Neodiprion lecontei: one gene and its partner. Each later gene encodes a partner of the first gene's protein in a complex. Links are inferred from orthologs where the notes say so. Each region holds a gene or a part of one and is shown on either strand. Other genes may lie near its edges.

The links.
Region 2: the proteins of apoptosis-inducing factor 1, mitochondrial (region 1) and mitochondrial intermembrane space import and assembly protein 40-B are in contact, whole or in part, in a cryo-EM structure (PDB 9GQZ), measured with the Homo sapiens proteins. The link is inferred for Neodiprion lecontei from reciprocal best matches to the Homo sapiens genes AIFM1 and CHCHD4. Residues at the interface, in NP_004199.1 of Homo sapiens: Pro345, Tyr347, Ser500, Ser501, Leu502, Pro503, Thr504, Val505, Gly506, Val507, Phe508, Ala509, Lys510, Glu558, Asp559, Tyr560, Asn602, Ala605, Lys606, Phe608, Asn609, Ile610, His611; in NP_001091972.1 of Homo sapiens: Arg5, Glu7, Lys9, Asp10, Arg11, Ile12, Ile13, Phe14, Val15, Thr16, Lys17, His20, Thr22, Pro23.

Annotation. Positions count from the first base shown.
Region 1 is NC_060265.1:5,860,802-5,869,061, forward strand, and holds the start of apoptosis-inducing factor 1, mitochondrial, read left to right. Parts: upstream 1-1,962; 5' UTR 1,963-2,035; coding exon 2,036-2,126; intron 2,127-2,503; coding exon 2,504-2,811; intron 2,812-2,901; coding exon 2,902-2,956; intron 2,957-3,166; coding exon 3,167-3,315; intron 3,316-3,375; coding exon 3,376-3,506; intron 3,507-3,595; coding exon 3,596-3,771; intron 3,772-3,855; coding exon 3,856-4,047; intron 4,048-4,221; coding exon 4,222-4,418; intron 4,419-4,509; coding exon 4,510-4,762; intron 4,763-4,903; coding exon 4,904-5,088; intron 5,089-5,205; coding exon 5,206-5,478; intron 5,479-5,568; coding exon 5,569-5,640; 3' UTR 5,641-6,195; coding exon of another isoform or gene 6,196-6,312; 3' UTR 6,313-6,400; coding exon of another isoform or gene 6,401-6,616; 3' UTR 6,617-6,700; coding exon of another isoform or gene 6,701-6,878; 3' UTR 6,879-7,178; coding exon of another isoform or gene 7,179-7,495; 3' UTR 7,496-7,569; coding exon of another isoform or gene 7,570-7,920; 3' UTR 7,921-8,000; coding exon of another isoform or gene 8,001-8,197; 3' UTR 8,198-8,260. Other genes in the region: uncharacterized protein LOC107221093, read left to right, coding at 929-932, 1,060-1,212, 1,291-1,505, 1,592-1,642; protein broad-minded-like, read right to left, coding at 6,196-6,312, 6,401-6,616, 6,701-6,878, 7,179-7,495, 7,570-7,920, 8,001-8,197. UniProt on the Homo sapiens protein: Functions both as NADH oxidoreductase and as regulator of apoptosis.
Region 2 is NC_060266.1:760,324-763,659, forward strand, and holds mitochondrial intermembrane space import and assembly protein 40-B, read left to right. Parts: upstream 1-1,653; coding exon 1,654-2,127; 3' UTR 2,128-2,583; downstream 2,584-3,336. Other genes in the region: ribonuclease P protein subunit p14, read left to right, coding at 1,066-1,088, 1,287-1,584.

The DNA of each region.
Region 1 (8,260 bases):
CTTAAGTGTGTATAAATAATGGTAACACAATGATGATTTACTCTGAATTAAACGAATAGGGAGAGAAAAGATTTTCCTTAAATAAGATATGGAAATTGTTATTTATTTTTCAATACAATGAATATTAACATGCAATCACTTAATCAATAATCAATGTAGAATTGACGACTTTTTTCTTTTTTCTTTGTAACACGGACAACAGAAGTTTAGCAGGCAAAGATAACACTTTGTAAACCCATGTATATAACAAGTATGAGGATGTATTGATCTGTTTGTAAACACGAAAAGTAAATCTTGAGGTTACATTTTTAATAACATTCATGATAAGATGTAGTTTTAACTGGGATCAAAAAGCACGAAAAAAAGTGTAAATTTTAGATAAGTACCGAAATAATGATGCGTCATTGAAATTATTCTAGAAAATTCCATCACAATTTAATGCAGTACCTATATCACTACTAACTGCGTATCGGCAGGTGAATGACACATCGTTCAAATGATTCATTCACCTTGAAAGGATTCAACGAAAAAAAAGTAAAAATTATAGTAACATCGGCATTGTACCTTTACTGCAGATTGTTCGAAAAATATTTGAAATAGTGGTGCAGTCTATATGGGTATAAAACACTTTTAATTTACTGGAATTCAGAAACAAACACCAATTACAAGTTAAAAATGGTTAATTACGTCCGGAACAGCTGTGATACTGTTTACAACTTTGAAGCTTGCTACGAGTGCTGCGGGCTCGTGTGACTGCTGTGAAGTGCAGCGAAGGCGACTGGAGTCTGATGGAGAAAAGTGAAGTTGGCCAATATTTATTGACAGCACCAGCCTGCAGCAGCCGACAAGCAGACGACACCCACCTGCGCAACTCCTTTGTCTTTCACTCGTGGCAACTCGTTGATTTTCATTTTTATATTCTCCCAAAATGGGTACGAGAACGTCTGGCAGCTTGGACCGTTGTAGTTTTCCTTGAATTTATTTTTCCTCTTCCTTGGGAAGTCGACCCTCAATCTCCATAAAGTCTGTTCCTATATAATACGAGATCCTCTAATATAGATCCTCGAGTTAAACGTGGTCAAGACATTAACACGTGGGCCTCAGTAAACAGTAAACGTAAAGTTGCTGCGTACATTTTACGTGTGATGTGGCGTGGCGCAACTTTTACATGCTGCAAAATTGGAATTCTTCATTCCAGAAAAATGATACTGGGTAAATCTCAGAATCGATCACTATTCTTTTATATGTAATTATATTTTTGTCAACAAAGTCACATTTTTCATATCTTAGGACAATTTCCACGGAAGTTGAGGGCAGTTAGAGTATTGCTCTCGAAAGATTGTTATGCACCAATTCAATGTCCTGAGCCGTGCGAAAATACTTGTTTAATGGACGAATTGCCAGTTCCCTGTGGATCGTGGCAACAGAAGTTTGATACGAAGATGAGGCAGTCTAATAGAGCTTTAATGATCGGAGGAGGATTTTTCATATTCACTATAATAGCTGTACGAATGTCAATGCATCCCTGAAATCTCAACCTAAATTATGCCTTTTAATCATAAAAGTGTCACTCTAATTTCTATTTTCACAGATGCACAAATTCGGATACGTTCGAGGATACAATGTTCCGCTATTTTACTGACAAAGTATTGAGAAACGATTGGAACAAGAATTGTTTCTGTAGCACTCCAATAAATAAATCTCTTGAATTAGTCGATGTTCATTACGTTATTTGTTTTCAATCGTATTCTTTACATCTTGCAGGGATAAAATGCGATATCTAATCTATAAACAATGTTAACGTCATGTCCCCCAAGTTTTTTAAATTCTAGGATTCTCTGTCCAGGTCCGCTCGGTAAGACAGAGCGCTGTCTAAATGCGGAGCGAAAAAATATATGTTTAGTTCCTAGCGTGTTGGTCACAGGTGGCGGCATCAGAGGCACAAATCGAAAATTTAACTATAACCGGGATTATCGCCATATTGCCCTTAGAGTCTAGGGCCGCGCGCCCGTAGCACCAAAAGTAATTTGTGAAAATGTTAAGATACGGGTACGCGATCAAGAATTTATCAAAAATTACAAGAAAACCATGCCTGAGCTACGAGCAGATTCCTTTAAAATATATCGGTGAGTATAAAACGAAAAAATTATTTGATTGTCAAGTTAAAGTCTATCGAATAACTTCCGAAAACCTCATGCGGCACCGTGATGTTTTTCTAGACTATTCGAAGATTTTAACACGTACATTTAGTAGTCGATGATAAGCGAGTCCTAAAGTTGTACAAATAATCAGAAAGAAAATACGAATATTTTTAACTGTCCTCCTTTCGTTCAGAAAACTAAGTATCGTGTCAGATTTTTCACTGATTTCCCTACACCTTGAACCACCCTGCGGCGATTATTTGACTTCAGTTAACCTACAATTCAAATATAATTTTCAGTAGATTTCGTGAGTAAGACATCATTTTAGTTTCTAATTTTTTTTTGCACATAAAAAATTTCAGGTATTATAAATGCCAGTCGAAACTACAGCGATGCCGGTGATAAGAAGCCGGGTAATCCTAACAGACCACCTGGCACTACATTGAAAGCGGAAGAATGCATTCCTTCAAATCAGTCGAAATCGAAGGGATCATTTTCCTCAGATCCTGTTTGTCCAATCGATCCGAATGTTGAATGCCCTTTGAGTCCCAACCGGGATTGTGGTAAAAGGCCAGAACCATTCGAGGAGGATGGCAACCGCAAGAAGCAGCAACGGGTATGGATGCAATTGCTGGCTGCTCTCTTCATCACTGGAGCCACCATGTACATGGTAACTATATTGAGAAAGAAACTTTTCACTTTAGGGAAGTAAAGTTGCAATATTTATTTGAAGAAATTACAATTCTTAATGCTTTTGCAGGTGAATCGAATGGGCTGGTTGCAAACATCTGAAACGCTTCAAATACCGAAACAAAGTAAGACTAGAGTTGTGATAACTAATATTGCACATAATATATCAAAATGAGCCAGTTTATTATCACTCAGTAAAATATGATTAGGCCTTAATGAAATGAATAAGTTTACTGAACTAGAAGGTAGAGATAAAAGTGTAGTACTTATCTGCCACTCAAATTTTATTATTGGTCTACGGAGTAGTTACTACAATTTATATTTCTTTCTCCCAGAGAAGAAGAAAAAAGCAGAGAGAAAGAAAGTTAAGATTCCAGCTGTCTCTTCAGAAATAGTAACAGAAATTCCTTACCTCTTGATCGGGGGAGGAACAGCTGCTTTCTCAGCATTCAGGTCTATAAAATCAAGAGATCCCACAGCAAAGGTAGTTGATTCTACAGATTCTCATAAGAATTGGATTATTTCACACTATTCATTACTTTAGGTTCTGGTTGTAACGGAAGAAGGGGACCTCCCCTACATGAGGCCCCCGTTGTCCAAAGAGCTTTGGTATAACAAAGACAGAGAGACTACAGAGAAATTAAAATTCAAACAATGGAACGGGTCAGACCGAAGGTAGTCACAATATTATGATCCGGTGGATAATCTGAGCTTTAATGCAGTTTTTACCATGCAATTGAATAACTCACTCGTTTTCTCCCCAGCTTGTTCTATGAGCCTCCAGAATTTTACACTCCTGTTCCAGAATTAGCACAATCACATAAAGGAGGTATCGGCGTAGCTTTAGGATGGAAAGTTAGTCAAATTGACGTCGTTAATAGGACGGCAGTACTTGAAGATGGTCACAAAATAAAATATGAAAAATGTTTATTAGCCACTGGTGTGTTTACCTTTCGAAACAAATAATGCTATATACTAAGTATTCTATCGTGATATTTAATTCAATGAAAAATGAATTCTATAGGTGCCTCGCCCAAGAACCTTCCAATATTTGAAACTGCGGATGATGCAGTTAAAAGTAAGATCGTACCATTCAGAACAATAGAAGACTTCCTCAAGCTAGAGGAGAGCATTCGTGATTCAGCAGTACAGAATATAGTTATTGTTGGTGGAGGATTCCTTGGTTCCGAAGTTGCGTGTTCTTTGGTCAGAAACTGTAAGTGTTACTCTGCACCTTCGTTGCACAACTCGGTTATCAACCATTTTTTAGTTGATTGGTGCTACAGATTATCTAATGAAAGGAAAAAAATTCAAATGGACTCAAATGTGTGTGAATAATCCTGGCAGGTATCGTGAAAATGCTCTGGTGACTGAGTTTTGAATTTTGCAGTAAATCCAGACCAAAAAACGGTTCATCAGATCTTTAAAGAAAAATACATAATGGCTCAAGTGCTGCCTGAATACTTGAGTGAATGGACTACGACCAAAGCAATGCTCGAAGGAGTGAGATGTATGCCTGAAACTGAGGTTGCAGATGTCGAAATGAAGGGTGGGCACTTGAAACTAATTTTAACAGATGGTTCCAAAGTGAGTAAATCCTTAATTTACAAAATGAAGGGCATAATGACTAAAGATTTATATTTTTGTAACTGGGAATTTCTGTGTTTGTAATTAACAGATTGACGCAGATCAAGTAATCGTAGCAGTTGGTGCGCAAGCGAATACTCAATTAGCTCAATCTTCTAATCTTGAAATTGACACAAAAGTTGGTGGTTATCTTGTTAATGCTGAATTAGAAGCAAGGAGCGATTTATGGGTCGCAGGGGATGCAGCTTGTTTCTATGACGTGAGATTGGGCAGAAGGCGAGTTGAGCATCACGATCACGCTGTTATATCTGGAAGATTAGCAGGCGAAAATATGACTGGCGCTGGTAGTTTAAGTTTTCTTTGTCCATAGATTTGATGCTTAATAACAGCAGAAATAGCGTTTACTGCAACTTATACCAATCAAATAGCAGTACTCATCGATTAACTTGTAGAGCATGAATCTATAAACTTGCGTCCTGTTTCAGGTAAACCCTACTTGCATCAGTCCATGTTCTGGTCAGATCTTGGACCTGAAATTGGTTACGAAGCAATAGGGATCGTTGACGCATCCTTACCAACAGTAGGGGTCTTTGCTAAGGCAACGGATCAAGACACCCCACTTGCTGCTGTCACTGCATCCAACGAGGGTTTGAGATCAGTTAGTGAAGAGGTGAAAATATGCAGTTTGGTTTATCTTTGGTTTATCTCGAAATATCATACATCATGTTGCATTATGATTGTAAGCAATTTTTACTGTTCTTAGTTTAATTGTATATTCTTCCCGCAGCACAATTCACAGGGTAACAAATCGGCAGCAATTATACAAGCAACACCGGTATCCCAGAAGCACGCACCTGTAGAAGGGTTGAAGTCAGCAGAGTCTATAAAGAATGTCAAAAGTGACAAAAAAGACAGTAAATCATGTGAAGACGAGGGAGGAAATAAAGTAGAGAAGCCCCGTGACGACTTTGGAAAGGGAGTTATATTCTATATACGCGATGACGTCGTAGTCGGCATTGTCTTGTGGAACATATTCAATCGCATGTCCATTGCTCGACAGGTAGGCTACTACTTTCATGGATTTCTATGCTCATTTTCCAGTGGGCATGATATATTTGGGATCTGATAAAACGAATAATTAACTCTCCAGGTTTTGGCTAGTGGAACAAGGTACGACGATCTGAACGAGGTAGCTAAACTGTTTAGCATTCACGAAGACTGATGGCACTGAAGTTGCATTTACCATCGAATCACTGTTTGTAAATATTCGTGTTACTTGCTATCTAGTTCTTGTATGTATTTTACACCCTGTACTAAGGTACGATCTCTAATGATTTGACAGATAAACTTTAGGAAACATAAAATATTGTAGATATCATTTCTCTTAGAATCAGGAAGTTAGTGTTTTATCCGAAACCCGGGTAATTGTCACATTTTCTCGCAATCGTACAAAGTCTATGTGCATTTATATTACAATAAATATATAAATATCGAACGCTAAATTATGCACATTGTTAGAAAATAAAGGACATCATTGATGGTGAATACGGATGATAGTTTTTATTCACCGTTAAGTAAATATTCTGGTTTTAATTGTTTAGTGACTCTCATCACCTGCAAAAACTATGCAGTAGTAACAGTAATCAACATACATTTTATTGTAATTTCCTGCGTACACTGTGCTTAATTAAATGATTGTCATATTAAAGTATTGTGCTTATTGCAGTACTTGTTATTACTTCTGGAAGAAGTTCGGTCTTGGTAATTAGATAGGAAATCATGTAACTAACGCTGCCTCTTGGTATGTAAGCAGGGGCAAAGTCATATTGCGATACCGTTTCGATAAAAGATCCATCAATTGTAAATGATTTCCAGATCGATAGTCAGTTAAATCCTGTAACATTGAAATCATATGTACGATAAAATTACTGTGATTTTTGAAAACTCTCGCTGCTTTAAGCTACGAGAATAATTTTACGCACCATATGTTCTGGCCACATTTTTCCAGCCGTTACATCTTCTAAAAGTTGGTTTTGACTGTAGTGTAACAACGATGTACAGTAATACAACGGATAGTCAGCTGGATACAAAATACAAATGGTTAGCAAATGTATGATTTCGCACCATGGTAGTATCCTCCAGAAACATTGAGATATGATTTCATCACAAATAATCCACCAGTCTGTACCGCAGTTGTTCTGTGAAATTTGACAGACACATATTATTTTTAAGAAAAATTCCGGGTCTGAGTTTTGAAAAATCCACTATGTTAAGACAAAAACCTTTAAAGCGTATTTGATGCTAGGCAATTCATTTGCAACGATATTTTCCAGGAGATGTGAGAATGTGGTTTGAAAGTTTACAGGTAAATTCTGTTCACGACTCACAGCTTTCCCTAGCATAGGCCAAATGTACATAATCGATGGGAATTGAACTATTTGCGTGATGAAAGTTTTACACCTTGAAAAGTATACAACTCATTAGGAAAGTGATGTAAAATTGGTTTTGATTTTTACATTAACTTTGGCAGGTCAGTGATGATCCATTAAAACTGAGCCACGTAACTTTCAAGCTACTGCAATGACGGTGAAGTTTTCAATCTGAGACCTGCCTATGATGAAATATGGTTTGCTAGAGTCACTTTTTATGGAAAGTACAAGGTCTTTAACAAATTGCGGCAATTAGTTACAGAACTTTACTTCTGAAAAGCGTGATTCGCGGCCACCTGAGGCAACAAAATTAAAAATTGCGTATGCTCACCTGTCCATATCTCCATTACAAATAATAAAAACACTTGCAATGAACCAGTCGAATCCTTCAAAATTTTTTTTCCACCCGTAATACTTAATGAATCCGTGAACCTCTTTCAAGAAAATTTTCAAGTTTGTTTTCGCAAGTGACGTAACTTTCATAAGCCGATTTTGTTCTGCGTACAGCAAAGTTAATTCAATGCCGTAAACTTCTTGGGGCATCAGTGTGTCGTGATCATTATGCACTGGCCACTCGAAATGGTTTGTCAATTCTAATTCAGGAACTGCCTTTTGCATTTGATCAAGTAGATTAATCACGACGGAATGCTAAACATATTTGAAAAAATTTAACATCAGATCTGAAAAAGAGAAACTCTTATCTGCTGAAATTTGATGCTTACTTGTATTGGTTCTTTACTAGAAATCTTATGAGCTTTCCTCGCTTGTGACACCCATCCATTATCTCTGAGTCCAGGCTTATTTTCTTGGAGAAATCTTCCTAATTCTGAATGTAAGGGTATGGTGGGGCAAAGTTTTTCCACATCAAATTTCACAGGAGGCGGTAATTTAGAAAACAATTCTGTCTGCTCTAGCACTGCTGTATCACCAATGAATTTACTTATAATGCAATAGGATTTCAAAAGTACTTTGTGGCGAAGGAAACCTGCCTCATCAATTGCATATATTATTTTAAGTTCGCCATCGCTTTCTATCTCGATGATACACGTTTCTTGAAGATTGAGGAGTAGTTCCTTTACAAACAACAAAAGTTCACATTGATTTGTTGCATAAATCAAGCTGTAGATACTTTGAATTCTTTTATAATTCGTACCTGATAATTCAGTACGTGCTTCAAAAAAATATTTGCATCCAAGCTATCGAGGAAAACGTTCAGCGCCATAAGCGCAAGGCAGTGATATGGTGAATTAGAGTTTACAGAATGTTGTAATAATTCCCATAAATTACTGGGGTGACTGTCTTCGCTAGATGAAATTTCTTGACTTGTATCATCCAATAGAGCGATGAAGCCTGTAAAAAATTATTGAAAAATAGGTTTCTGCATAATTTGAATATTAATATAACGTAAGAGCT
Region 2 (3,336 bases), on another chromosome or scaffold:
CTCGAGACCGCTTTGTGGATCTGCTCATAATTTATTGGGAGCTGCCTGCCAGACCAAACCGTAACAACGCTGCGCTACGTTGCGTCGCGTTACGTCGCGTCGCGTTGCGCTGCGTCACCGAGCCGGCCCAACCTTCCTACCAGCTTCCTACCTACCTACCTACCGACCAAGTCGAGGGATTGTTCTGCAAACTTGTTCACCGATAAGCGCCGAGATATATGGACCTCGTTATGTCGCTCCGTCCGTTCTATTACTTACACTCATCCTTTCGCGGACCCTCAATCAGAGCGGCTTAAACTTACTATGCTTCAGCCCGCCCCGCCGTGTATACCACACACGTTATACATACCTATATAATCATACGCACCGTGCTAGTGTGTTAGTTACCACGTATCGTACGCGTACGTGCAATCGGTTCATTCTTGCGATGACCGTGTACGATCCTGCAGCAGAGATAACCATTGGAAATTCAGTCGCTAAAGGGTATTCTTGCTATAAGGAGTCTCCCAAATATAACGATATCGCATAGATAGGGTACCCGAAGTAGGCGTTATGCATGTACGGATGGATGACATGGTTTGCATCGATTTATTTCAGGCTGACGATGACGCACACGCTCCTTGCTTCTTGCGAGCAATTTCACTCGCGTATCTGGAATACAGTACCTATTCTCTACCGTTAAAATCTAATATTTCCATTTCCATCGAGCCTGATCCGGCAGATTATGAAGTGAAATTCGTAGGTCGCTTTGCGCCTGTACGACCACGCGACGCAACCGGGCATACACGAGATCGTTTCAATCTCTGCCGGGTTGAAACGGCATCTGTGGGGGGCAAGTTGAACCACGCGGCGTAGTTATGCAACACCGAAGTTCTAGAATTCCAGCCTGCAGGCCATACCGGCGTGGCGAATGGTCGACGGTGATACGGGTGCGTCCGTAACTATTGCTAACTTCTCGTTCTGCCGTTTATTATCAAGGAATAGTAAATTTCCCTCGAAATCGTTGTACGATTTACGCTGCCGTCAATGTGAGTGAATTGTGGCCAACGATTATTACTGTGTATCATGCGTTACTTAGACGTCTCTTTGTTAGTATGCCATTGATTTCTCGCACGTTATCGTAGTACTAACCTAACCCGGATCGGGATCTAACCTTGAATTAAGGAAAAAAAAAAATAAAGAAAGACACGGAATGCAGCTCCTCGGTCGCGAGGAGAAACTCCGTTCACCTCACTAGGGATCGTAAACATTTTAACATCTATTTTTTTTATTCTCTTCGTTTACAGAGAACTTCCCAACGACTCGAACCGTGAGATAAGTGCGGTATTTTTGAAGAAGCATGTTATGCAGGCTGTGAAAAAATTATTCGGAGCTGTTGGGGCCAAGTCGCAAGTAGATATACTCAAGTACAACGTCAGCGACCGCAGATTCGTCCTTCGCTGTCAATCCGACAGCTACGTTAGACTGAGAGCCGCTTTAACGTTGGCCAGTGACTACGAAGGGGAGCCTTGCGTTTATACCGTTCATAAAGCGTCTGCGAATCTTCTATCTCTAGCTGCCGATAGCAGGACTTTTGTTCATTAAGTAAATTTGGTAGTATTGTTCAGTTTTTTCAAGTCATAGATTTAAGGTTAAATCAATCGTCGTTTAGTCATGTCGATTGTTAGAAAAGAGGGTAAGGACACAATAATATTTGCCTCCAAAGAGGATCACGCCTCTCCCAGTAAAGTGAATCTTCCCGAACCCGAGCCAAGTCCCGGTTTGATACTGGCCAACGGAGAAATAAACTGGAACTGTCCGTGCCTCGGTGGAATGGCGACTGGCCCTTGTGGTCTTGAATTCAGAGAGGCGTTCTCTTGCTTTCACTACTCCGCCGCAGAGCCAAAGGGCTCGGATTGCTACGACGCTTTCAAAACCATGCAGACTTGCATGTCCGAGTATCCTGCGCTGTACGGAAACAAGGAAGCCGACCTCGACGATCTTGGTCAGGCTGAGAGTCAGGCGGTAGTTAGCAAAGACTCTGAAGATCCGATAAAGGACAGTAGAGAAAGCAAGAGCGATGAGAATGGGATCGAAGCGAGCAGTGGTAGTAAAAACGAGATGCAACACTCGGTAGGGTCCAAATGAGAGATGTATTTACATATTATTGACAACGTTAGATATTGTTACTTTATGTACTGCCAATTTAGTAATTCCTTCGTTAAACAATCGGCTGTTGGTCGATATATCTTCGAGGCATGTGGATCAAACAGTTGTACAAAATTTCATCTTGCCGTCGATAGATATCGAAGCTTAACCAATAGATTAGAATATCGGCAATGTTTTGTATCCCTGGTGTAGAAAGCGGTAGAATATTATCGTAGAGGAACAGTAAACTCTTTTCACTTACTACCAGTTGTAATCGTTCGAAAGCATATGGTGTGCCGAATTTCAATAGTTGTATCTATCATTCTTACGTGCATTTTTGTAACACGCACAGTTGTCTGTTGCGTGAAATTGCGATCATTTCTTTTCTTCTATGGTACTGCTATGTCACGAATAAACGAAAAATGGAGCGCTGCATCTGTTACATTTCCCAACGAACGCTGCTATTCATGTGTAATTGTGTGATTCCTGTTTATGCATATACGAGTAAACCGTGAGAGTAACATTTTGTTTCAAATGTAGAATAAACGAAGAGCAGGGGGGCCGATTCGTTACAACGCTCCAAGTCCCGTTAACGCCGTTTGAATTTGGCGCCGGATTCGGTTAGGTAGAAAGTAGTTGACGGTTCTGCCGTCGTTGGCGTTGACGCAGCGTGTGGCGGCCATGTGACGTCAAATTATCCCCCTAACAAGTTTACCGAGCACGTCGGAATCAACGAAGTTCCCCGTCCCGTATTTTCCTACCAGGATCGTTGGTTAGTGAGGGCCGAAACAGTGACGTGGTTAAAGCGTGTTATTTATACCGCATCGGTGTGATTACCTGAGCACGTTGAGTAGGATACGCGTGTGCATTCCTTGGCAGTGTCTAAGAGTGTCGGGTATTCTACGTGGGCGCTCAGTTTTTTGGCATGCGCCAGGTCGATGAAATGGAGTCTAACAATAAGCGAACCAAGCCGAAGGAAAAGCGACGGTGAGTCCTTGCACAAGTTTCTGTTCAATCAATGCCCGCTTTTTCGACGAGTCGATCTTTTTCCATCTCACGATTCTTCGCACCTGCGACACATGATGCAACGATGCGAACACCGTGTGCGTGGAGGAGCAAGCACACACCTCACTCTCCATCCATCCATCCATCTCTCTCTCTTTATCTCTCTATCTCTCTCTTGTCTCCCTTCTGCTGATCGTAATTCTT